Elephas maximus indicus: one gene and its partners. The protein of the gene in region 2 purifies or fractionates together with the protein of the main gene of each other region. This does not show direct contact. Links are inferred from orthologs where the notes say so. Each region holds a gene or a part of one and is shown on either strand. Other genes may lie near its edges.

Region 1 (8,028 bases), on a different chromosome or scaffold from region 2:
ACACATAGCAGCAGCAGCAGCCACACCGGAACACTCCCTGCAGAAGGGGTAAGGGAAGATGTCAACAGGCAAAGGGCCTTCACAGGCTGAACAACAGGACCCTCAACCTACTCCACTGAAGGAGCAGCCGGCTATAGTTCTCCAGGGGATGAGTTTCTGCTACAGCTAAAGGTGGGGTGGTACAATGACTCACGTCGTGAGGGCAGCAGGTGCAGCTGGCATCGGCTATCCACAGCCACAGAAAATAGGGCAGTTTCGTGAGACCCAAGGAGCTCTGGACCACGACCCTTCTCAGGTAGAAAGGCCACATCTGTCACCACAATGCCATGGGCTTCCCTCACATAGTAGAGGCGCTAGGGGCAGGAGGAGAAATAATGAGGAAGGCTCAGTTGGGTGGCTTTCTGCTGGAAAACATGCCCCAGCCCCCAGAAGGCTTTCCCGCTACAGGGTGGGCCAGACTCCTTTCTGCACACTCTAGATAGAGGGAGGCCAAGTGTCCCCACCCTAAAGAGCCCTCAGGGCTGTGCCCACCTTCACCCATTACCTGGAGAGAGAAAGCTATGTAGATGGCAACAGAGCCAGTGACCGTGCCCAGGCCTAAGAAGGTGCCCGATTCACTGCAACAAATAATAAAGTGCTCACTGTCCTGGAGGCCTCTGCAGAGAGCCTTGTTCCCAACAGTAGTCCTCAGGGGTTCAGGCAGGACTCCTTCCCAAGCTCCCCAGGCACCCCCACACCCAGCCAAGCCAGCACTGCCTCACACCTGATGCCGAGGCAAGAGATGACTTCGTGGCCACAGGACTTGGTCCGAAGGGGCAAGAAGGTGGAACCATCCCAGGCTGTGAGGTAGCAGGGTGGGGGCTGGCGCTGGCGCTTGTGGGGAATCTGCACTGTGAAGAGTCGCAGCCTCGCAGGCTGGTCTGGAACCTGCCCAAACCTGTGTCCAGGAGAGAGGCTGCTCAGCTCCTGGGGCCAGCCCAGCTGCCCGCAGAGCTTTACGCCCTCCTGCGCTCTGGCCAGGCCTCGGCTGACACCTAGCAAGGGCACAATCCTCCCCAGCTTTCCCTGAGTCTTCCCCACTCCCCCCCCCACATCTGGGCTGTGCCTCTTTTAGCCACCCTCCGGGGTCTTCACACCTGCAGGCCTGGTAGCGGTAAGGCATGTTAGAAAAGGTGGGTCCATTCTCTTGCCAGTGCAGCTGTGTCACCAGCTGATCCTTCTGCCACACGGAGGCCTTAAGGTCCCAGCCCACAGTTACCAACTAGTCAGGAATAAAGATGCCAAGGATGGGCAGTTAGGGGATCCACTTACTGAGCAAGCAGCATAACCACCTACTTTCTCCACCTCCCCACCTCCTCACCTTGCCATCAGGCCCCAAAGCCAGGTCCTCAATCTCCCCTTCGTGGGCTCTGAACTCCAGAACTTTCTTCAGGCTGGGTACCTGCAGCCAAACCCCCGCTATGGTTAGCCCAGGCACCCGGCAAGAACACTCTTTTCTCTTTTAATGGCCACTCAACGCAGGCTGCACTCACACGTTTCTCAAAACCCACGTGCAGTTTCTCACAATTTTGGCCTTGCTGCTACTGACTCACCTGCCCTAACCGTCCCCCCTGCCCCCAAACCACACCTGCCAGACACGAACGTAGCCATCCGTCCCTCCAGTGGCAAGCAAGGTGTTATCATGGTTGAAGCATACAACTTTCTGCAGTGGATCACTGCTGAAGTCTGTCTGCACCGCCTGCAAATTCTCAACACTGAGCTCTACCCCCTCACAGTGGGTTTCCGCTCCAGTTTTCTGCTCTGCTGGGGCCACCCCCTTCCTTTGTCGAGGTCCTTGGTCCTTAGAACCTGCAATACAAACAGCCTGCCAGGTCCCAGGCCTCTACAGCAGTACTAGCCTTTCTCCACATGGCAGGCTTCCACTCTTTGCCACCACAGCCCCACTTCTTTAGAGAGACCAAGAGGAGAGTGATCTTCCTCATCTCTTTCCAAAGAGCTAGAGAGGCACTCCTCACCTGCCTTCTCTGCCTTGTTGTTTCTCTTCTGCTGACGGGTCTGGAAGCGCAGGAGCTGACAGTGGGCATCCTGCCCTGCAGCAAGGATGTCACCAGCCAGTGCCAAGTTCATGGTGGCCCGTGTCTCTGTGTCATGGGAGTGTAGCAAAGAGGCACTCAGGCGCCCATTAATCCGCTCTAGCTGCAGAAAGTGCTGAGAGAGAGGAAGCCAGGATGAGCAAGGTTCAGGGGTACTCGGACTACACCTAAGGGCAAACTGACATCTTTCTAGTCTGATGCCTTACTCCTCTGCTTACTGCACTTCCTAGTTCACAAAGCTTTCTTAAGTCCTCATTTGGGCCTCAGAAACCTGTACAGCTGCCAGGACTGGGGATATTACCTCCGGAGTGAGACTCAAAGTGAAGGAACCTGGCCTACGACCAAATGCGCCGTTCTCGTCGCTGCTAGTAGGCAGATGGACTTGTCTATGTGGCCTCCCGGGAAAAGGACACGATAAGACCCCGGGGCTGCTCCTGAGGTCGTAGGTCGCGCCTACGCAGCGGTGCGCGCAGTTTTCACTTAACCTTAGGAGTCTCTCAACGGGCTGGACTGAAACTCGCGCGGGGGAGCCCGGCTTCCCGGGGATCCCCACGGAGGTGGGGCAGGGCCAGAAGCTGAGATACGGCGCGTTCCCGTGACCCGCGGCCACCCCGGAATCGCCCTTAGCCGTGGTGTAGCCCGGCCCCAGTGGCCCTGCGGTCTCACCACGCCATTCTTTATGCCTGTCTTCGCGGCGCCTCCTCCACCCGCCGCGATGAGCAGCCCGGCGCTGGAGTCCACCTGAAGCGCGTACAGCGGGAACGGGGCCCGGTACAGCTCTGGCGCCCGGCGCCGGCCCATCCCGCCCGGCGCTCTTCACTGCTCACACCGCAGCTCCTGGGACATGCCTCGCCCGGCGATGAGCTTGGGCCGGCTGCCGCCTGGAGGACCCCCGGCTCCTCTCACATCCGCAGGGCTGCCGATACTCTAACCACACGCAGGGCCCGTTTCCCTCCCGGCCGCCGAACCCCGGCTCCAGCCGCGCAGGGCGACAGCGCTCCGCTCCAGCCGCTGTCTCCGCGCAAGTGCAGACCCGACAATACGCGTCAGCACTACTCGGCCGGGTGACGCAACGCGGGCGCCGGTCCCGCCCCCTGCGACCCCGCGCTCCGCCATCTTTGTGCGGGGCATGGGAGGTGCTGCTTCCTTGAAGGGAACGCCCTTGGTGATTACGGAAAAGAAGAGGTGGGGTTAATAAAGATGACTAGTTGCCAGTGGAGTTGGTTCTGGCTTATGGCGATCCATAGAACTGTGCTCCATATGACTTTCATGGCTGTGACCTTTCGGAAGCAGATCGCCAGGCCTTTCTTCAGAGGTGCTTAAACATTTGGACTCCTAATAAAGGCTAGTAAACTTTCAAAAAAGAAATCCTTGGATTAAAGCTTTTTATACTTCAAGGATGAAATGACTCATACAAGCGCACTTTTTAACCTAGAGAGAAAGTGATTTGTCCGAGGTCACATACCAGAAACATGACCTGTGGCTCTCTCCTCTTAATGAAGGCAGCATGGACTTTGGTTTAAAACCAGACAAGCCAAAAAAACCAAAAACCAGACCCGCTGCCGATTCCAACTCATAGTGACCCTACAGTACAGAGTAGGACTGCCATATAGGGTTTCTAAGACCGTAATCTTTTGTAGTGACATCTATGCAAAGATTTTTGCATCATGCTTGGCAGAGTACAGGGTCAGCGGAAAAGAGGAAGACTCTCAACAAGGTGGGTTGACACAGAGGGTGGGTTGACACAGAGGCTGCAACAATGAGCTCAAGCATCACAAGGGTTGCAAGGATGGCTCAGGACCGGGCAGTGTTTCGTTCTATTGTGCATAGGGTCGCTATGAGTCAGAACCGACTCGACGGCACCTAACAACAACAACATGCAAAGATGTCACCTTGAGGACTAAGGTGTGCCTGACCCAAGCCATGGTGTTTTTTTTTTTTTTTTTCACATGCATGCAAAAGCTGGTGGATGAATAAGGAAGACCGAAGAAGAATTGATGCTTTTGAATCGTGGCCAAAAGAACGAACAAATGTGTCCTGGAAGAAGTACAACCAGAATGCTCCTTGAAAGCAAGGATGGTGAGACTGGGTCTTACATACTTTGGACATGTTGTCAGGAGGGATCAGTCCCTGGAGAAGGACATCATGCTTGGTAGAGAATCAGCAAAAAAGAGGAAGGCCATTAAGGAGATGATGGATTGACACAGTGGCTGCAACAATGGGCTCAAGCATAGCAAAGATTGTGAGTATGGCACAGGACCGTGCAGTGTTCCATTCTGTTGTACATAGGGTCGCTGTGATTCAGAACCAATTTGACGGCACCTAACAACAACAACAATCTTTTTTTTTAAATTGTGATTTAGGTGAAAGTTTACAGAGCAAATCAGTTTCTCATTATATAAGTTAATACAGAAATTGTTTTGTGACATTGGTTACCAATTCTGAGATGTGTCAGCACTCTCCCCTTCTCTACCCCAGGTCCTGTTCCCATTCATCCAGTTTTCCTGTCCCTTCCTGCCTTCTTTCCTGTCTTTGCTTTTGGGTTGGTGTGCCCATTAGTCTCATATACATGATTGAACTGTAAAGCACATTTCTCACGTGTGTTATTGTTGGCCCTATAACCCAAAAACCCAGTGCCGTCAAGTCGATTCCAGCTCATAGCAACTCTATAGGACAGAGTGGAACTGCCCCATAGAGTTTCCAGGGAACACCTGGTGGTTTCGAACTGCCGATCCTTTGGTTAGCAGCCGTAGCACTCAACCGCACTAGGGTTTCTGTTGGCCCTATAGATCTGTCTAATTTTTGCCTGAAGGGTGAACTTCAGGAGTGACTTCAGTACTGAGTTAAAAGGGTGACTGGGGGCCATACTCTCAGGGCAAGGCTATAATCTTTATGGAAACAGACTGCCACATCTTTATCCCGTGGAGCGGCTGGTGGGTTCCAACCACCGACCTTTTGGTTAGCAGCCAAGTGCTTTAACCGTTATGCCACCAGGGCTCCTCCAAAACCAGAGAAAATGACCTTCAAACCCCGAATCCACTGCTTCCTAGTATGAGGAAGACACTATCTATCTTAACACCTGTAATGGATTGAATTGTGTCCCCCCAAAATATGTGTATCAACTTGGCTAGGCCATGATTGATTGTGTGATTGTCCACCATTCTGTCATCTGATGTGATTTTCCTATGCATCCTGTCTCTATGATGTTAATGAGATGGGATTAGCAGCAGTTACGTTAATGAAGCAGGACTCAATCTCCAAGATTAGGTTGTGTTTTAAGACAATCTCTTGACATAAGAGAAGTGAGCAGAGACATGAGGACCTCATACCACCAAGAAAGCAGCACTGGGAGCAGAGTGCGTTCTTTGGACGCGGGGTCCCTGCACCTGAAAATCTCCTAGACCAGGGGAAGATTGAGGACAAGGACCTCTCTCCAGAGCTGACAGCGAGAGAAAGATTTCCCCTGGAGCTGGCGCCCTAAATTTGGACTTTAGCCTACTACACTGTGAGAGAATAAATTTCTCTTTGTTAAGGCCATCCACTTGTGATATGTTATAGTAGCACTGGATAAGACAACACCCATCCTCTGTGGGTGGCAGAGGCAGGAGTCTTCCATTCCCTTTTTCTGGGCTTCTTTCCCATTCTTGAGCACTCCCACTCCTGAGCAGGTTTGGGGGTGGAGGCTACCTACCTTCTGACACCCTGGCTTCTCTTAGGGCGAGAGGCTGGGGAGGTAGCGTGGCTCCGAGTAGGCCTTTTCTCTGCCTGACACCCCACCCACCCACTTGGGTTTCTAGTCTCCTGTCTGAGGACCAGTGTATTCCCCTGTGAGAAGACTCAAGGATTGCAAGAACACAGTCTCTGCTCTCAGGACTGGTCGCCTCAGCTGGCACCTAAGGTGCACCCAAAGGAATCGGCCCAGTGGCTGCAGCTCTGTGAATGCCAGTATCAGTCCCATGGAGATGAATTAACGTATGAAGGCCCTGGTAGAGCATAAGCTTATCTCAGGCACTCAGCCCTTGTGGGGCTCTTGCTCTCCTCAGGTCCATGATATGGGCTTTCTTTTTCCTTTGACTACCCCTAAGAGGACCTGTTTGGAGAGTAGAGCTCCTGTAGGTACAGCCATCCATTCTTAGTAGGACACAAACATAAGTTGTGCAGGGTCAGGCTTTATTGGATATGCTGAAGGTTGGAGGGGGCTTCCAGTGCCCTTGGTCCTCTTCAGCCAGGGGACAGCAGATTCCACAAGGGGCTCCCAGGGTTCAGAGCTGGAGAACACACCTGTCCTCCAGCCAGCCAGCCCTTCAGGGTGTCTCGGGGACTCCCAGAGATTTGGGGCCTGGTGGGGAGGGTGGTGTTTGAAGGAGGTGCTCCGGGGACCCTCCGTGGCTCTGGAACTAGGATGGCGACTTTAGGGGGATAGGCTCTGAAGAGACAGACCTCTTTGGGGCAGAGGAAGGCTTGGGCCTCGGAGAGGCAGTGGCCTGTCTTGGTGCCTGGAGGAGAGGCCCTGAGCTGGGGGCAGAGTTTCGTGATTGAGGGCCTGGCGACCTGAGGCTCCCGGTCTGGGAGGATGTGCCTGGGGCTGGATCTGCCTGGGCCTGAGCCACTGGGGTTTGAGATGCTGGTGCCCGAGATGCCTGGGCTTGACACCCAGGGGCCTGAGCAGTCTCGCTCTGAGGTCCTACTTCCTCCGGCCTTCTTTCTGGCAACAGATGCAAGGCCCTGGCCTGGCCCCGAGGTAGGCGGAGGCCGAAGCCGATGCCTATGCGAAGCGGCCCAGACTCCTGGCCCTGTGCACAGGGCAGCAGTTGGGGGAAGGCCAGCAGCCGGGGCCCAGTCCTGTACCTGGGGATGGGGCAGGAGGGACTGCGTGGACGGAGACACACCAAGCATATGGGATATTCCACTACTGGGGCCTGGCCGGCTCTGCCTAGCCACAGGCGCTGCAAAAGCAGTAGACGCAGGTCGTGTGCGATGCGGCGGTGCCCCAGATGGACGACCAGGGCCTGGGCCAGGGCTCCTGGGTCCCTGAACTCCGCAGGGTCCCTCTCGCTTGCCACGCATCCCCCCACCACTCCAGGGGACCTGGAGTCCCTGTACTGATGCAAGTGCCATGTCTGCCTGGAAGAGTGGACCCCAGAAGGTAGGCTGGGGCTGGGGGAAGTAAGCGTGGAGCTAGGTGGGCCTTTGGGATGGGATGGAGAGTAGCAAGGCAAGTTGGGGAGAGAGGAGTTCTGTGGCTGAGAGGGAGAGGAGGAAAGCAGGTTAGATGGGGAGGAGGACCCTGGAAGGGAGAGAGAGGGATAATTCTGGTGAAAGAAAGTGGGGGAAGTTGGGAGAGAGGAAGAGTTCAGATGTGGGACAGAGTCAGAATGTGAGTCAGAAGAGAAGTGTGAGTCCAGAGAGCAGAACTGTGGGGGAGGAGAGAAGGGTAGCTGGGATTGGGGGGAAGAGGGAAGACGTGGATGGGAGGGAGGAAGTGATTGATGGGGAGGGAGAGGCTGTCGGTTGGGGAGAGCAGAGTCCGCAAGTTGTGAGAGGCCCTGAGAAGGGTGCCCAGGGGACACTGCGTTCTGTAGCAGCACCTGGTCCTTGTTTTGAGGCAACATTGCCTTGAGTCCAGAAAGGACCTGGGTGACAAGACCAGGGATTAGAGACCCAGCAAAGGCAGGACTGGAATCTCAAAGCCAGAAGTGAGTGAGAAATCAGGCCCTTTCTCTATGTGCAGAGTGTGGCTCCAGCCTGGGGCAGGTGTTGGTGGAAGACCAAAGGGACACCTTGCCCTGCAGCACCAGGCTCTCTGGGTACTCAGGCGGGCGCTTGGGTCTAAGCGTGGCCTCTCACTTCTTTGCAGTCAGCCATCGAGGAGGGATGTGTGGGGACGGAGGATCAGAGCTGGCTCTTGGGAGCTGAGGGGCAGCAGCCGTTATCT
Region 2 (7,501 bases):
ACTGCAACATTCACTTTCCTTATTCTGGGTGCTTATTTCTGCTCTTTCCTAAGCCCAGAAACCCTTCCATCACTCTTCACGGACCACTCAAATCTATTTCCTCTATGACACATCCCTAATCATTCTAGCCTATTCTGATTGCCCCTTCTCTGAACTTCAATATTACCTACTATTCTTACTACATTGTATCACTATTTAACTGTTTCATATTGACCTGTCTTGTCACCATCCATTAGAATGAAAACTCCTGGAGGGCAAAAGGTTTACTTCACTTTGCATTTGATTCATTTTAGATGCATACCACCCAACCTCAATTCCAGCACATATTAGAACCTCACTAACTATGAAAGAATCGTTACCAAATATACTAGATTTAGTTAGCCCTTCAACATGCAAAGTAATACACATATCTTATTAACCATTATAATTATATGTAAAACATTTTTTATAAAGTCACACAATTAAAATAAAAACATTATAAATGATTATAAATCTGAATGTTCCTTTTTCAAGTTCTGTGTCTAGCTCTAAGGATACTAAAATGAGGTTGTACTATAAAGAAGAAAAGAAAGATAATTATTATAAAACATTGCCTAGTAAACTTTTTATGTTAAATCATATCAAAAGGGTTAAGGACAATCTTACTCTTAAAATTTTTCCTTATAAGGTATTTATATTTATACTAATAATATGTCACATTTTTAAAATTACATGTTGCACATTAGAAATAATTCTTTTATATTGGAGAGATATAACTTATTTAAAGCAACTCTAATATACTAGGATGTAATTTATTTTATGTCATAAAGCTACTAAAAATACATATTCTTCCCTGAGAGACCGAATTACTGGACTGAGGGCTGGGGGCCCTGGTCTCAGGGTACATCTAACTCAACTGGCATAACATAGTTTATAAAGAAAATGTTCTACATCCTACTTTGGTGAGTAGTGTCTGGGGTCTTAAAAGCTTATGAGCAGCCATCTAAGATACTCCACTGGTGCCACCCTATCTGGATCAAGGAAGAATGAAGACAACCAAAGACACGAGGGAAAGATTAGTTCAAAGGACTAATGGACCACAACTACCACAGCCTCCATCAGACTGAGTCCAGCACAACTAGATGGTGCCCGGCTACCACCACCAACTGCTCTGACAGGGATCACAACAGCGGGTCCCAGACAGAGCTGGGAGATGAAGAGAAAAATGCAGAACAAAATTCTAGCTCACAAAAAAAGACTTGACTTACTGTTCTAACAGACTGGAGAAACCCCTAGAGTATGGCTCCCAGACACTCTCTTAACTCAGTACTGAAGTCACTCCTGAGGTTCACCCTTCAGCCAAAGATTAGACAGGCCCATAAAACAAATTGAGACTAAATGGGCATATCAACCCAGGCATAAGGAGGAGAAGGCAGGAGGGTCCAGGAAATCTGGTAATGGGGAACCCAAGGTCAAGAAGGGGAGTTGTCGACACGTCATGGGGCTGACAACCAATGTCACAAAACAATATGTGTATTAATGTTTAATGAGAAACTAATTTGCTCTGTAAACCTTTATCTAAAGTACAATAAAAGTAAATAAATAAAATAAAAATATATATTCCTAACACCAATTTCCAAGGTCCCTGGTGGCACAATAGCTAAGTGCTCAGCTGCTAACAGAAAGGTTGGCAGTTGAAACCTACCACCAGCTCTGTGGGAGAAAAGATCTAGAGATCTGCTTCCATAAAGATTTCACCCTAGCAAGTGGCCATCTAGGATACTCCACTGATCTCACCCCTTTGGGAGCAAGGAATAATGATGAAAACTAAAGATACGAGGGAAAGATTAGTCCAAAGGACTAATGGACCACATATACCACAGTCTTTACCAGACTCAGCCCAGTACAACTAGATGGTGCCCGGCTACCACCACTGACTGCTCTGACAGGGATCATGATAGAGAGTCCCGGACAGAGCTGGAGAATAATGTAGAACAAAATTCTAACTCAAAAAGAAAGGCCAGACTTTCTAGCCTGACAGAGCCTGAGGAAACCCTGAGAGTATGGCCCCCCGACACCCTTTCAGCTCAGTAACGAAGTTACTCCTGAGGTTCACCCTTCAGCCAAAGAGTGGACAGGCCCATAAAATGAAACGAGACTAAAGGGGCATTCTAGCCCAGGGGCAAGGATTAGAAGGCAGGAGGGGACAGGAAAGCTGGTAATAGGGAACCCAAGGTTGAGAAGGGAGAGTGTTGACTTGTTGTGGGGTTGTTAACCAATGTCATAAAACAATATGTGTACTGTTATGAGAAACTAGTTCTGTAAACCTTCATCTAAAGTACAAAAAAAAAAAAAAAAAGATTTCATCCTAGGAAACCCTACGCGGCAATTCTACTCTGTCCAATACAGCTGCTAAGAGTTGAAATAGACTTGACAGCACGAACAATAACAACTGATTTCAATATTTTTACAAAATAAATAAATACAGAAACAATTGCTGTATGATAAATTTTAGAATGAATAAATCATGATGGTTTGAAATAAAAACATTTTTTGAAAACAGGAAAATTCTGATTCTGAAATAGAAACTAAAAAATATAAGGACTTTATATTTATATTGGTATGAATAGCCTATTCATACCAATTGATTATATTTATCTTAAAAAAAAAACAGTAAAACGGCTAATTTGTTTTTGATACATAGACTAAAACCAATAAATTTGCTGATATATTTATATGTCAGACTACTCTTTATCCATTTGTATATTTACATTTAATACTATCACAAAATGCCTTGCTTCCAGCATTTTCTTTTTATACCAAGCTGTAGTTTATAATTGCAAATATTCTTCAATATTAATGCTCATTCTTATCACACACATCCACAATTACACTAGATGTCATTTCAGAGCCTCAATTTAAGAGGAAAAGAAAAAAAGCAAACTTACTTTCACATTCCAAGTCGCCACAGTTTTTAAGGTCTGTCAACAGTTTTGTACTCTCCAGACTCTTTGTCAAAGAAATAACCAAAAGAAGGATTCTGTGAACTCCGAGATTCGCCATGCTAAAATGAACAACCAGGAATTCAAAATGAGCTTTAAACTGATTGTTCAGGTGGTAGATATGCCAGGCAAAACAGAAGATACCCTACTTTCTTCACTAAATATAAGAGAAAAAAAATTGAGTTTTTTTTTTTTTTTTTAATTCTTGGGTAACTACATTTTTTTCTCTCTTTTTAGTCTTAACTTGAGAGACAAACACTGTTCTCAATCTGCAGTGTCAGGTATCCAGATAACACATAACAGTTTAATAATTAACAGGGATTTTTAGTTGGACTAATGTCTTTATAAAGGTGGCCCAGTAAAACTGTCTCACTTAAAGGCACACTGCATACAACAGGATAGTTCTTAAACAGTCCTCCACGAAAAGGTAATCTCTGCCTAACGAAGTCTAAGGAAGATCAGTCAACAAGTATAAACTGAGTATTTGCTGCATGCAAATACCATCATCAGTGGAGAAAGTATATAGTTATATGTAGAAACAGTGATAACTTGTTAAAAGCACAGTTTTTGAAATACCATGATGAAAGTTATTTAAGAAAGCACCCGAATTTTCATATTAAAAAACCCTTCAGTGTTACTGTGAAGGTGAAATTTGTATTTCCTTAAGAATAAAAGGTAAAATGTATTAAGTACTTTGTTTCAGGCGGAAACCCTGGTAGTGTAGTGGTTAAGTGCTATGGCTGCTAACCAAGAGATCGGGAATTTGAATCCACCAGGTCCTCCTTGGAAACCCTGTGGGGCAGTTCTACCCTCCTATAGGGTTGCTGTGAGTCGGAATCAACTCAACGGCAATGGGTATGTTTCAGGTGCTATTTTAAATATTTAAGTGTATGATCTCATTTAACCCTCACACCAACTCTTTGAGCTAGGCAATATTATCATCCCCATTTTTTCATATGAGGAAACTGAGGCACATGGAAATTGGTTAAATCACATGCCCAATGTCACTTACTGAGTAAGGGAAGAAAAATTCAAACCTAGGCATGGTGACTCCCTATACCCTTAATCACTGTGCTTTGCCACCAAGGATCAAGTCATCTGCCATGAAAGATGTCCACTCTGTCTCCAACAATACTGTTCCAGAAACAGCAGCTACAGTATTAATTCAGGTTTTAAAAAGTATATATATATATGACAGAGAGAGATGTCCAAAAGAATGCTCCCTAACACTGTAGGAGTGTGTAGTGTGACTTCAGATGGTATTCACTTTCTTCTTCCTGTTTTTCCATATTGTTTGACTTTTTTTTAAATCAGTAAGCATGTATATTTTAAAATAACAATAAAGCTATTAAAATCAAGTCATCTGAATGTTACTGCCACTTCAAAAGAATCAAAGCCCTGTATTGGAAGCTTATGTGTAAAACAAGGTATTAGTAGATTGGCAGAACCCAGTTACCTGATTTCAAACTCAGGAAGGTATTCTTCTAAGCCTTTCTTTGCTCTACGTTTTCAGTGTGTTTGAGCTTGCTAAAAAACAAAACAAAACAAAACTCACTGCCATCTAACATGCACAAAATCTGTCTGCAGGCTCTTGGCCTCCAGTTAGAACACAGCACTTGTGTGGCACCACACTCCCCTCTAGTGCCTGAAACAAACACATACTCAGTACCTGAGCAAATGTTGGCTTTTAAGCCTCTAAAAACATTTTTGTTTGTTGTTTCCAAGAAGATCCTGACTGTCAGGTCTAAGATTCTTGCACCCTTAGAAAGTATCCAATAGACCATGCAGATGAGGGCCTGGGTCTATAGTCATTTGGCTTGAAGTCAGAGCACAGCATAGTTGTACACATACATATACACAAAAGTGTAGATTAGTTTCCCGAATACCATTGCAAATGTGTAAATTATGCTGTCAAAGAATTTAAAGAAGGATCACCTCTTTAGCTTCAAAATATGGTACAGGATTATTTGTGTAACTTGCATTACCAAATTCAATACAAATAAAAAATATTTAGTAATTAATGGAACGTAACTATCCTTTTTTTTTTTTTTTTAACTATCCTTGTTTTGTATCCTTTATTAAAGACATTGTGGCTAAATTCTGAACTAATTCATTTAATCATGTTCTAAATTAAGAAAGACAAGAGACCAGCGAAATTTAAAATTGTCTATTGAGTGACTTGAAAATTTGAACCAAACAAGATCTGAGCCAAAAACAAGAGAAAAATCCTTGCCAGGGTACTAGTCGGGAGAGATTTGTTAACACTAGAAATGCTCCCACTTTTCCTGGTAATGCACTCAGATGATCTCACTTTATGTTCAGATCATTATCTAAATATAACCTAACAAGCTATCTGAAAATGTGGTAGCAAAATGTTAATTAAGGGAGACCTGGTGGTGCAGAGGTTTAGCACTCAGCTGCTAACTGCAAGGTTCCCGGTTCAAACCCACAACCACTCTGCAGGAGAAAGATGTGGCAATCTGCTTCCATAAAGATTTACAGCCTTGGAAACCCTATGGGGGTAGTTCTATTCTGTTCTGTAGGGTTGCCATGAGTGGATGGTGGTGGGTTTGGTTTGGATTGTGGAATGTTAATTAACTGTCCATCAGACCCAGGTGGAGAGGTTGGTGGGTGAAGAGAACAAGAGCATTAAAGAAGCCAAAGTATCAATTTTCACTATAAAAAACAGTGGCATTAATTAGCCAGATGTTATCTAATTATGGATCCATTTGTAGATTAAGTGTTGTGTCAATATTCAAATACAATGCTACTGCTGAGGAAGGTGCCACGGTAAAACAACTTAGACAGGAATACTGATCTGGAAGACCTATGGCAGTCTTCACAAACCATACAGGAGGTAAGAGTACTTACTGCACAAAACTAAACAATGAATCATCAAAGCCAATGTTCAGTATCTTAGAGATAATGGCACAGAGCTTTTTTTTGCATGAAAACAAAGACGTAACCATGAATATTGCACTTCTACTGCTTGGTGATGTTGTCTTGGGCACTATATGGTACCGTCTTCTTAGCACTTCAGATTTCCTAAAGTGGGAACGTATTTTCTTCAACCAGCTACCTGCAACTCTGACAATTTACAGGATAGAGAAATTTAATTAGAAGTTACTTGGGATAAGCGGAAATCCTGGTGGTGTAGTGGTTAAGAGCTATGGCTGTTAACAAAAAAGTTGGCAGTTCAAATCCACCAGGTGCTCCTTGGAAACCCTATGGGGCAGTTCTACTGTCCTATACAGTCGCTATGGGTTGGAATTGACCCGATGGCAATGGGTTTTGGCATAAGCAGAACTGATAAAGCTGGGATGTTTTTACTAGGGATGGGGAACAAGAACAACGGAGCCTTTGGGAACGGTTGCCATGGTAGACAGGTGCACAACAAGAGAAGATGAGGCCCAGGAGAGATAGAGATTCAAACTGGTGTGGAAGATACGGAGATGGCCCCCACATTCCCTCTGTAAATTACGACTGTCTGCCCAGCTGCAGGGCATGCAGTTAGCAGACAGCCTCCAGCAGAGAGCTATTTCAGGATCTGCGTCAGCTGCCAAGAGCCACCTTCCTAGGACAGCCTGCATCTAGTAAGGAGAAAGTTCAAAGGCAGGGCCATTTCAGCCTTATGTGGGACACCCTGCTGGGCATTTCTCACCCCAGAGCTTCCTGCTGGGTTGGCAGAGGAGGCTTCATTGGGCCTGCACTGAAGGCTGACTTCTCCTTCTGCCCAATCCAGCTTTCTCTTTCCTTTCATAGATGTTGATCCCTAATAATCATCTTAAAAAGCCAAACTCTTGTCTCAGTATCTGCTTCTAAAGGACCCAACCTCAGAAGCTGGTGATTCACAGGCACAAAAGATGACAGAACATGCACATTTTAGCCTATGATCTGTTCTAGTCACTCCATGCTCTTTATTGTTTTTGTGTTGCTGAGGGCTGTGTTGTTCTGCCCACTTTTTCTCATTCCGTCTGTATTAGAGTCCCACCAGGAAGCAGATAGTCATTCAGTTTTGGCAGGCGGGAGGGCATGGGGGTGGGGGGTAACACTCCTCAATGATTAGGGAGATTTTAATGAAAGCCTGATTTACAACAGAGGAACCTTAAGCCTTCAGTAAAGAACTTGGCCAAGAGAACATCACTCTTCTCCCACCTTCTGACTTCCTGGTGGTGACTTCCATGGAGCACGTACAGCCAGATGCCACAGGATAAGGGAATCTTTTGAAGCAGTCATAAAGGTCAGCTTCCAGGGACAAACAGCAGGTGGTAAGGAATGGAGAGAGAATTGAGAGGGGCAGAAAGAGAACGTTCTGCATGTTGTCATTATTCCTTTATTACGTGTTTTAGAATAACAGTATGCAACATCCTCTACACCCAAAATGATACGTGTGTGATATCTGATGATAAGGCAACTGAATTGATTAGTCTAGTCAACCAATAAGAAAGGAAATTATTTGTTGACCACCAGCTTCTTACCAGTGGGCTTAATATTTCACACACAAATCTCACCTTCCAGGA
Region 3 (8,104 bases), on a different chromosome or scaffold from region 2:
GGTGTGCGTCAGGGTTATAGCCTTTCACCATACTTATTCAATCTGTATGCTGGGCAAATAATCTGAGAAGCTGGACTATATAAAGAAGAAAGAGGCATCAGGATTGGAGGAAGACTCATTAACAACCTGCGTTATGCAGATGACACAACCTTGCTTGATGAAAGTGAAGGGCACTTGAAGTACTTAGTGAAGATCAAAGACCACAGCCTTCATTATGGATTACACCTTAACATAAAGAAAACAAAAATCTTCACAACTGGGCCAATAAGCTACATCATGATAAGCAGAGAAAAGACTGAAGTTGTCAAGGATTTCATTTTACTTGGATCCACAATCAACAGCCATGGAAGCAACGGTTAAGAAATCAAACGATGCATTGCACTGGGCAAATCTGCTGCAAAGGACCTCATTAAAGTTTTGAAAAGCAAAGATGTCATCTTGAGGACTAAGGCGCTCCTGACCCAAGCCATGGTATTTTCAATCACATTATACGCATGTGAAAGCTGGACAATGAATAAGAAAGACTGAAGAAGGATTGATGCCTTTGAATTGTGGTGTTGGCGAAGAATACTGAATATGTCATGGACTGCCAGAAGAAAGAACAAATCTGTCTTGGAAGAAGTACAACCAGAATGCTCCTTACAAGCAACGATGGGGAGAATGCGTCTTACATACTTTGGACATGTTGTCAGGAGGAATCAGTCCCTGGAGAGGGACATCATCATTGGCAAAGTACAGGGTCAGCAGAAAAGGGGAAGACCCTCAACAAGGTGGACTGACACAGTCGCTGCAACAATGAGCTGAAGCATAACAATGATTGTGAGGATGGTGCAGGACCAGGCAGTATTTTGTTCTGTTGTGCATAGGGTCACTATGAGTCAGAACCCACCGGATGGCACCTAACAACAACAACAACAAGGTGCTAAAAAGCAAAGATTTCACTTTAAGGACTAAGCTGTGCCTGACCCAAGCCATGGTGTTTCCGGTCACCTCATATGCATATGACAGCTGGGCAATGAATAAGACTGAAGAAGAATTGATACCTTTAAATTACGGTGCTGGTGAAGAATATTGAACATACCACGGGCTACCAGAAGAACAAACAAGTATGTCTTAGAAGAAGTATAGACAGAATGTAACTTAGAAGCAAGAATGGCGAGACTTCGTCTCACATATTTTTGACCTGTTATCAGGAGGGACCAGTCCCTGTAGGAGGACATCATGCTTGATAAAGTAGAGGGTCAGCGAAAAAGACGAAGACCTTCAATGAGATGGATTGACACGGTGGCTGCAGCAATGGGCTCAAACATAGCAAAGACTTTGAGGATGGCGCAGGACCGGGTAGTGTTTACTTCTGTTGGACATAGGGTTGCTGTGCGTCAGAACTGCCTCAACAGCACCTAACAGGTGTATGACTCCATTTATATAAAATCCTAGAAATTGCAAAACATTATCTATAGTGATGGGAGATTGCTTGGAGACAGGAGAGGGTAGAGAGAGATTACAAAGAAGCATAAGGCCTGTTTTGGGAGTGATGGATATATTCAGTATCTTGATTGTGGTGATGGTCTCACAGATATACACATGGGTGTATGTCAAAACTTATCTAATTGTATGTTTAAATCTGTACAGTTAATTATATGTCAATTATAGCTCAATAAAGCTACTAAATCAAAGAGTGCACAGGATTGGCTGATGGGTTGGACTTGGATGATAGAGAAAGATAGGAATCAAGGATGGCTTTTAAGTTTTTGACTTGAGCACAAAAGATGGGAGTTGCCATTTACCAAGGTAGAGAAGACTGAAAAGAGGAGGTTTGAGAGGGAATAAAGAATTTTATTTTCAACATACTAAGTTGGAGGTGCCTATTAGACACACTTAAGATTCTAAAACAAATAAACACATACTCATAACCTGTGCTGTCCAGTTGATTCCCTTTTATAGCAACCCTACAAGACAGAGTAGAACTGCCCCATAGGGTTTCCAAGGAGTGGCTGGTGGATTTGAACTGCTGACTTTTGATTAGCAGCCAAATGCTTAACCACTGTGCCACCAGGGTTCCAATAAACACATAGTAGAAAAGAAATGAAGAAATCCTAATGGCATTACTACTTGAATGGAGAGTCCCTCTTCATGAACTTATCCATTGTACATTCTCACCAGACAGCATGTGAACTTTGCTGGACCAATGGAATATTTCGTGGCCTCTGCAGACAAATATCTGTGGGCATCTCTTCCCCATCTCTTCTTTTGTTAAATATTATGGATTTCAAGGACAAGCCATACTTCTTTCCTTTTGTTTTTGCTCTGCTTTTTTTTTTTTAATGAATTCATTTAGTGTGGGAAGCCAAGTGATGGTTTTGGCTGGTGAATAACCGTGGCTGTAGTGAGAAGCCACCGTCCATAGACAGATGCCAGCCGTTCCATTCATGGCCAGAGCATCATAGCCCTTTGCTCTGCGGCTGACTTGACGGTTGTGTCCTCTTTATTTTTTTTAATTGCACATGTAGCTACCTCAGTTATATTATGACTTAAATGGTATCCCTGGGCGATGCAAATGGTTAAGCACTTGAGCACTAGCCAAAAGGTTGGTGGTTTGAATCCACCGTGAGGCACCAAAAAAGTCCTGGCAATCTGCTTCTGACAGGTCACAGCCTTGAAAATCCTATGGAGTAGTTCTACTCTGCACACATGGGGCCGCCACAAGTTGGAATTGACTTGACAGCAACCAACAACAACAAAAACATGATTTAGACAAGCTTTTGCTTCCCTAGTCAGAAAGTACAAATAGGTTTTTCCCCTGTTGTGATTAAAAGGGGGCAGGGAGCATTTACCTGCGCTTGAATCTTGGCTACATCACTCACTAAGTGTGTAATGCCTCAAGTTACTCATCTCTAAAATAGGGATAGCAACAGAACCCACCACTGTGCGGCACTATTGTGTGAGGGGAGTCCCTGGGTGGTGCAAATGATTAGTGCTCTTGGCTGCTAGCTGAAAGGTTGGAGATTTTTTAGAAGTTTTTACTGGGTTAGAGGTGACCAGAAGAAAGTCCTAGCAATCTACTTCTAAAAAATCAGCCATTGAAAACCCTGTGGAGCACAGCTCTACTCTGAAATACACGGGATCACGATGAGTTGGAGTTGACTCCATGTCAACTGGTTTTATTGTGTGAGGACTGATCTGATACATATGAAGATCTTAGACTAGGATCTGGGCATAAAGAAAGCACTCAGTAAAAGTTGTTAGATGTCATTGAGTCCACGCCCAGCCACATGCACAATGGGATCTGACTGCCATCTGGCCCGGACCTCCCGGACCTCACAGCCCAGCAAAGACAGGTGTTTCTTTCATTGACTCAATTTTGGACGTAGGCTCCCAGGCCTTTCTTCCTAGTCCTTAATCTGAAAGCTGTGCTGAGACTTGTTCAGCATCATGGCAACACCCAAGCCCCCACTGACAGAGGAGCGGTGGCTGTGCTTGAGGTGCCCTGGATGGCAACTGAAATGGGGTCTTCTGCATGGAAGGTGGGAACCCTGCCGCTGAACTACCACTGCTCTGCAATGGATGTTCTTGCTGCTGCCATGGAGTGATCCCCTCAAGGTGACCCCATGTGCACAGTAGAATTGCACCCCATAGGGAAGCCTTACTTCCGAGGAGTCTCTGGGGAGGGGGGGTTTGAAGGGCCACTCTTCTCGTTAGTAGCTCAGAGTTCAACCATTTGCATGCCTAATCGCCTGTCCCTACTCTGACATAGATTATTTCATCGTTTTTATGTTGGTTGATTTCTACTAAGTTGTGGGCTTCTTTAGAGGAGAGCGGAAACCCTGGTGGTTCCGTGGTTAGGAGATAAGGCTGCTAACCAAATCGTTGGCAGTTTGAATTCACCAGGCGTTCCTGGGAACCCTATGGGGCAGTTCTACTCTGTCCTACAGGGTCGCTATGAGTCAGAATCTACTTGAGGGCCACAGGTTTGGTGTTTGGTTTTTAGAGGAGAGCCAGAATGTCTTATTTATCTTTTCACCTCTTCCTTTCCCCACCTCCCATCACCCTAGTGCTTTGTCCAGTATCTGGCATAAGATGGAAGCTCAGCAAATTCGTGTTGAATTAAATTACTACTTTCCTTAAGAATAAAGACCCAAGAATTTCAAGATCTCAGCTAGGGGAGGGAGGATGGAGGGGAAGGTAGGGTACTGACCACCTCCACCCCCAAGGCCCAAATAAAGACCAAGGAAGCCCCTGGCTCTAATTTACACCCCCAATCAGACTAGGGCATCTGGGGCGGGGGGAGGGGAGTCCCAAGAAACCGGGAGGAGCCGGAAGCCGGGGGTTGACAGTGGCAAACCTTGGGTGGGACTTGGTAGTTCGGAAAAGGAGGTACAAAACCAAGAGGGGGTGTGGGGGTAAGCTGGTTTGGGACGGACCACGAATCAAAAGCTGCGAGAGGGTCCCAGAAAGGACCTGTAGTTGGGACGGCGCGGGGACGGGGTGTGCAAGCGCGCAGAGGGGGGTGCGCTGCGAAAGGAATCGCGCGGAGGGTCGCGCGGGGAGGGACCCGGCCAAGGCAGGCGACTGGGCGAGGGAGAGGCTAGAGAGTCCCGGTTGCCAAGGCAGCGACACCAGGAGGCGGCCTCGGGGGGACGGACAGAGCTCCCGATGCTCCTCCTTCAGGTCCCCCTCACCCTCCCCGAGAGACCCTGCTGACGTGTCAGCCGGGAGCCCTTTCCACGGCGACAGCCCGCCCGTCCCGGCCCCGCCCCCGGACCGTCCCTCCCCGCCCCCTGCCGCCCGCGCCCCGCCCCTCGGCCCCGCCTCCCGTTGCCGCCCCGGCCGCCCGGCCTCGCCTCCCGTATCGGTCCCCGGCCCCGCCCCGCCCGGCCCCGCCCCGCCCGGCCCCGCCCCGCCCGGCCCCGCCCCGCCCGGCCCCGCCCCGGCCCCGCCCCCTACCCCGCCCCCGCCCCGCCCCGCCCCCGCCCCCCGCCCCGCCCGGGCCTCCTCGGCGTCACCGGCTCCCGAGTTGACCACAACATGGCTGCGGCGCCGGGGCTGCTCTTTTGGCTGCTCCTGCTCGGGCCGCCCTGGTGGCTGCCGGCTCAGCCAAACCTGAGCCCGGGCCGGCGCTTCTCGGAGCACAAGCTGTGCGCGGATGAGGAATGCAGCAGTGAGTGCGCCCCCGGGCGGGCGGGTGCGGCCCCGGGGTCTCCGCGGTGGCGCTGGCCGGGGGGCTCGGCGGCCGTGCGGGCTGGGGGCTGGGGGCGCGGACCCTGCGGACTGGGGGCTGGGAGCTGGGGGCTGGGGGCTGGGGGCCGGGGGCGCGGGCCCTGCGGACTGGGGGCCGGGGGTGCGGGCCATGCGGACTGGGGGCTGGGGGCTGGGGGCTGGGGGCCGGGGGTACGGGCCCTGCGGACTGGGGGCCGGGGGTGCGGGCCATGCGGACTGGGGGCTGGTGGCTGGGGGCTGGGGGCCGGGGGTACGGGCCCTGCGGACTGGGGGCCGGGGGCTCGGCGGCCGTGCGGGCTGGGGGCCGGGGGCCGGGGGCGCGGGCCCTGCGGACTGGAGGCCGGGGTGCGGGCCATGCGGACTGGGGGCTGGTGGCTGGGGGCCGGGGGTACGGGCCCTGCGGACTGGGGACCGGGGGCTCGGCGGCCGTGCGGGCTGGGGGCCGGGGGCGCGGGCCCTGCGGGCTGGGGGCCGGGGGCCGGGGGTGCGGGCCCTGCGGACTGGGGACCGGGGGTGCGGGCCGTGCGGACTGGGGGCTGGGGGCGCGGGCCGTGCGGACCCAGCGCGGGAGTGGGCGAGCCGCGGGTCCCTGAGCTGCTCCCTTCCACCTCTGCCGGCGCCGGGCAGGCGGTCCTGACTGTGGGGGGCTGCACCACCCACTTGTTGCCGGCATTTTCTCTTTCCTTTGCTGACCGAGGCGGGGATCGGCGTGGCCCCCGGCCGCCCCCTACCCTGCCCTGCACGGGTAGGAGAGGAGATGGGGCTGCGCCCTGCGGGCCCTGGGCTTCCCACGCTGCAACCGAGAGGTTTCGTGCCCCCGCCGCGGGGACCTCGGTCGGTGCAGTGGCGGGGGCAGATGCGCCAAGGGCTGGTGGGCGCCTTTCTAGTGGCAGATTGACGGTGAGGATCGGAAGAGGCGCACTGGCGCTGTCCCTGCGCCCTCAGCTTTACTGGCATTTTGGGCTCCTACTGCCTTTTGAACAGCGATTGGAGTTTAGGTTTGGGACCGGCCTGGAGTCCACGCACGCAGTGTATTCCAAGGTCTCCGCCCCGACTCTGCCTCAATCCTGTCATTTCTGCGCATGGAAGCCTCCCTGCAAACTGTCAGGGCAGCAGGAAGGCCAACATCTCCATCTCGAAAGGGGCGGAGGATCAGCATCAGCCACCTGAGATAGGCAGCCGCCTCTCCAGTGCGCAGGAAGCGAAACTGTCCCCCAGTCCTGGATTGTGGGCAGTGTGGAGGGCAGAGATCTTCAGACTCAGATGAAGAGGGTTGTTAAATTAATAGCAATAAATACTCCAAGGATCTTATAAGCCAAATCACCCTTGGCTTTAGACACTTGTGTTGTTGGAATCCCTTCCTACGTGTTTGGTGGACTGGGACTTACTGACAATCGCTGCAGAAATGGTAGTTCATAAATTGTAAGCAATACATATAGAAAAATATTCATTCTGAAAAGGCCAAGAGGCCTACAGTTTGCTACTTATATTCAAATTGGTGTTATTTGCAAACAAATTTCACGAGTGGAAGAGTTATATCACTACAGCACCATTCAAGAAGACAAAAAAAAAAAAAAAAAAAGCCACTGCTGTCAAGTCGATTCAGACTCATAGCGATCCTATAGGACAGAATAAAACTGCCCCATAGAGTTTCCAAGGAGCCCTGGAGGATGTGAACTGCCGACCTCTTCGTTAGCATCTGTAGCACTTAACCACTACACCACCAGGGTTTCCAGTCAAGAAGATGCGATTGCTAATTTGTGTTAAGCCCTCCTTGGAGGTTACCTTAGGGCTGGTGTAAACAAGCACCCTAAAGGCAGCAAAACTTCCACTAGTACTTCTTCCTTCAGTTTTCTCAGCACAAAACCAGGCTATTCGCAAGCAGGGTTGAGTATGGCAAAATGTTTGCTATCCTTTGCTTTCCAGCACTCTCCTACCTGGGTCCCTCGATGTAAGTTACCTGCAGATTCATATCATTGCTGAGGCCTCAGGATAAAGAAATGGTGTTGGAAGGGCCCACAGTTGTACAGTAACTTGAGAAATGATGTGTGTACAAACAGATGTGACCCAACACAACCGGCACCAGCAAGAGCAGGGCCTGGGTCTGTGCGGTGTTGTATGAAATAGTCAGCGAGGTGTTGGTGCAAGGTGTGTTTGTGTGCTTTTCACATAGCGGAAGCACTCGTGCATTATGTGGTCATTGGACATAGTGTTATAAATCCTCCACGATCTATTCTTAGGGTGACAAGAGTAACACTGCCGTTTCCAGTTCTGCTGGACCCCCCATCACCTTCAGCCTGGTCTCTCATCCTATTAGATCTGAGTTAGGATGCTGACATGTATTAAGAGTCACATTTTAGCTTTAGAAAGGAAACAGCCTCTGAATCTATATTGTTGTTCCTCGAATACATTTTTATGTATTTTATTGCTAATTGACTTTTAGAAAAAACATCTCCATTGCATCCTTTTTTTTTTTTCGCTACATAAACGCACTTACTGTTCATTTCATTTTACATGTGCATTACAAACTGTGTATTTGGCCCCCCCCCCCCAAATACTGCTTCTACCAGTTTCAAATTGAGTGTGGTTTGAGTCCTGCATTTGAAGCTGAAGGTAACTGACCTAATCCCACAGTTTTGCTTGGTCCCTACCACAGGTGATGTCCACTTTTGATTGTGTTTATAGAAAAATAGAAACAAGAGTATTTCTTCCTTTGTTTGTTTTGAAATCGTCTTAATGTTGAATACAGTCAACATTATTTACCTTCAGCGACTATCGCCTTGTTACGTGATTGGATCCATAAGATGGTACGGTATCCCTTCCTGCGAGATTAATCAGGTGCTGGGGAGAAAACACAACATGGCTGTAAATGAAATCGACAGTGTTT

The links.
Region 1: the proteins of MIA2 (region 2) and PREB purify together in Homo sapiens (affinity purification with western blotting; 3 studies listed by BioGRID and IntAct, with this or other methods). This does not show direct contact. The link is inferred for Elephas maximus indicus from reciprocal best matches to the Homo sapiens genes MIA2 and PREB.
Region 3: the proteins of MIA2 (region 2) and MIA3 purify together in Homo sapiens (affinity purification with western blotting; 6 studies listed by BioGRID and IntAct, counting the BioPlex papers as one, with this or other methods). This does not show direct contact. The link is inferred for Elephas maximus indicus from reciprocal best matches to the Homo sapiens genes MIA2 and MIA3.

What each region holds. Positions count from the first base shown.
Region 1 is NC_064830.1:45,497,924-45,505,951, forward strand, and holds the start of PREB (prolactin regulatory element-binding protein), read right to left. Parts: upstream 3,118-8,028; 5' UTR 2,895-3,117; coding exon 2,760-2,894; intron 2,209-2,759; coding exon 2,016-2,208; intron 1,849-2,015; coding exon 1,628-1,848; intron 1,442-1,627; coding exon 1,361-1,441; intron 1,262-1,360; coding exon 1,137-1,261; intron 938-1,136; coding exon 764-937; intron 618-763; coding exon 545-617; intron 354-544; coding exon 194-353; intron 38-193; coding exon 1-37. Other genes in the region: PRR30 (proline-rich protein 30), read right to left, coding at 6,491-7,705.
Region 2 is NC_064828.1:51,518,924-51,526,424, reverse strand, and holds the start of MIA2 (melanoma inhibitory activity protein 2), read right to left. Parts: upstream 3,081-7,501; 5' UTR 3,043-3,080; coding exon 2,928-3,042; intron 1-2,927. UniProt on the Homo sapiens protein: Plays a role in the transport of cargos that are too large to fit into COPII-coated vesicles and require specific mechanisms to be incorporated into membrane-bound carriers and exported from the endoplasmic reticulum.
Region 3 is NC_064842.1:12,274,172-12,282,275, forward strand, and holds the start of MIA3 (transport and Golgi organization protein 1 homolog), read left to right. Parts: upstream 1-4,990; 5' UTR 4,991-5,025; coding exon 5,026-5,158; intron 5,159-8,104.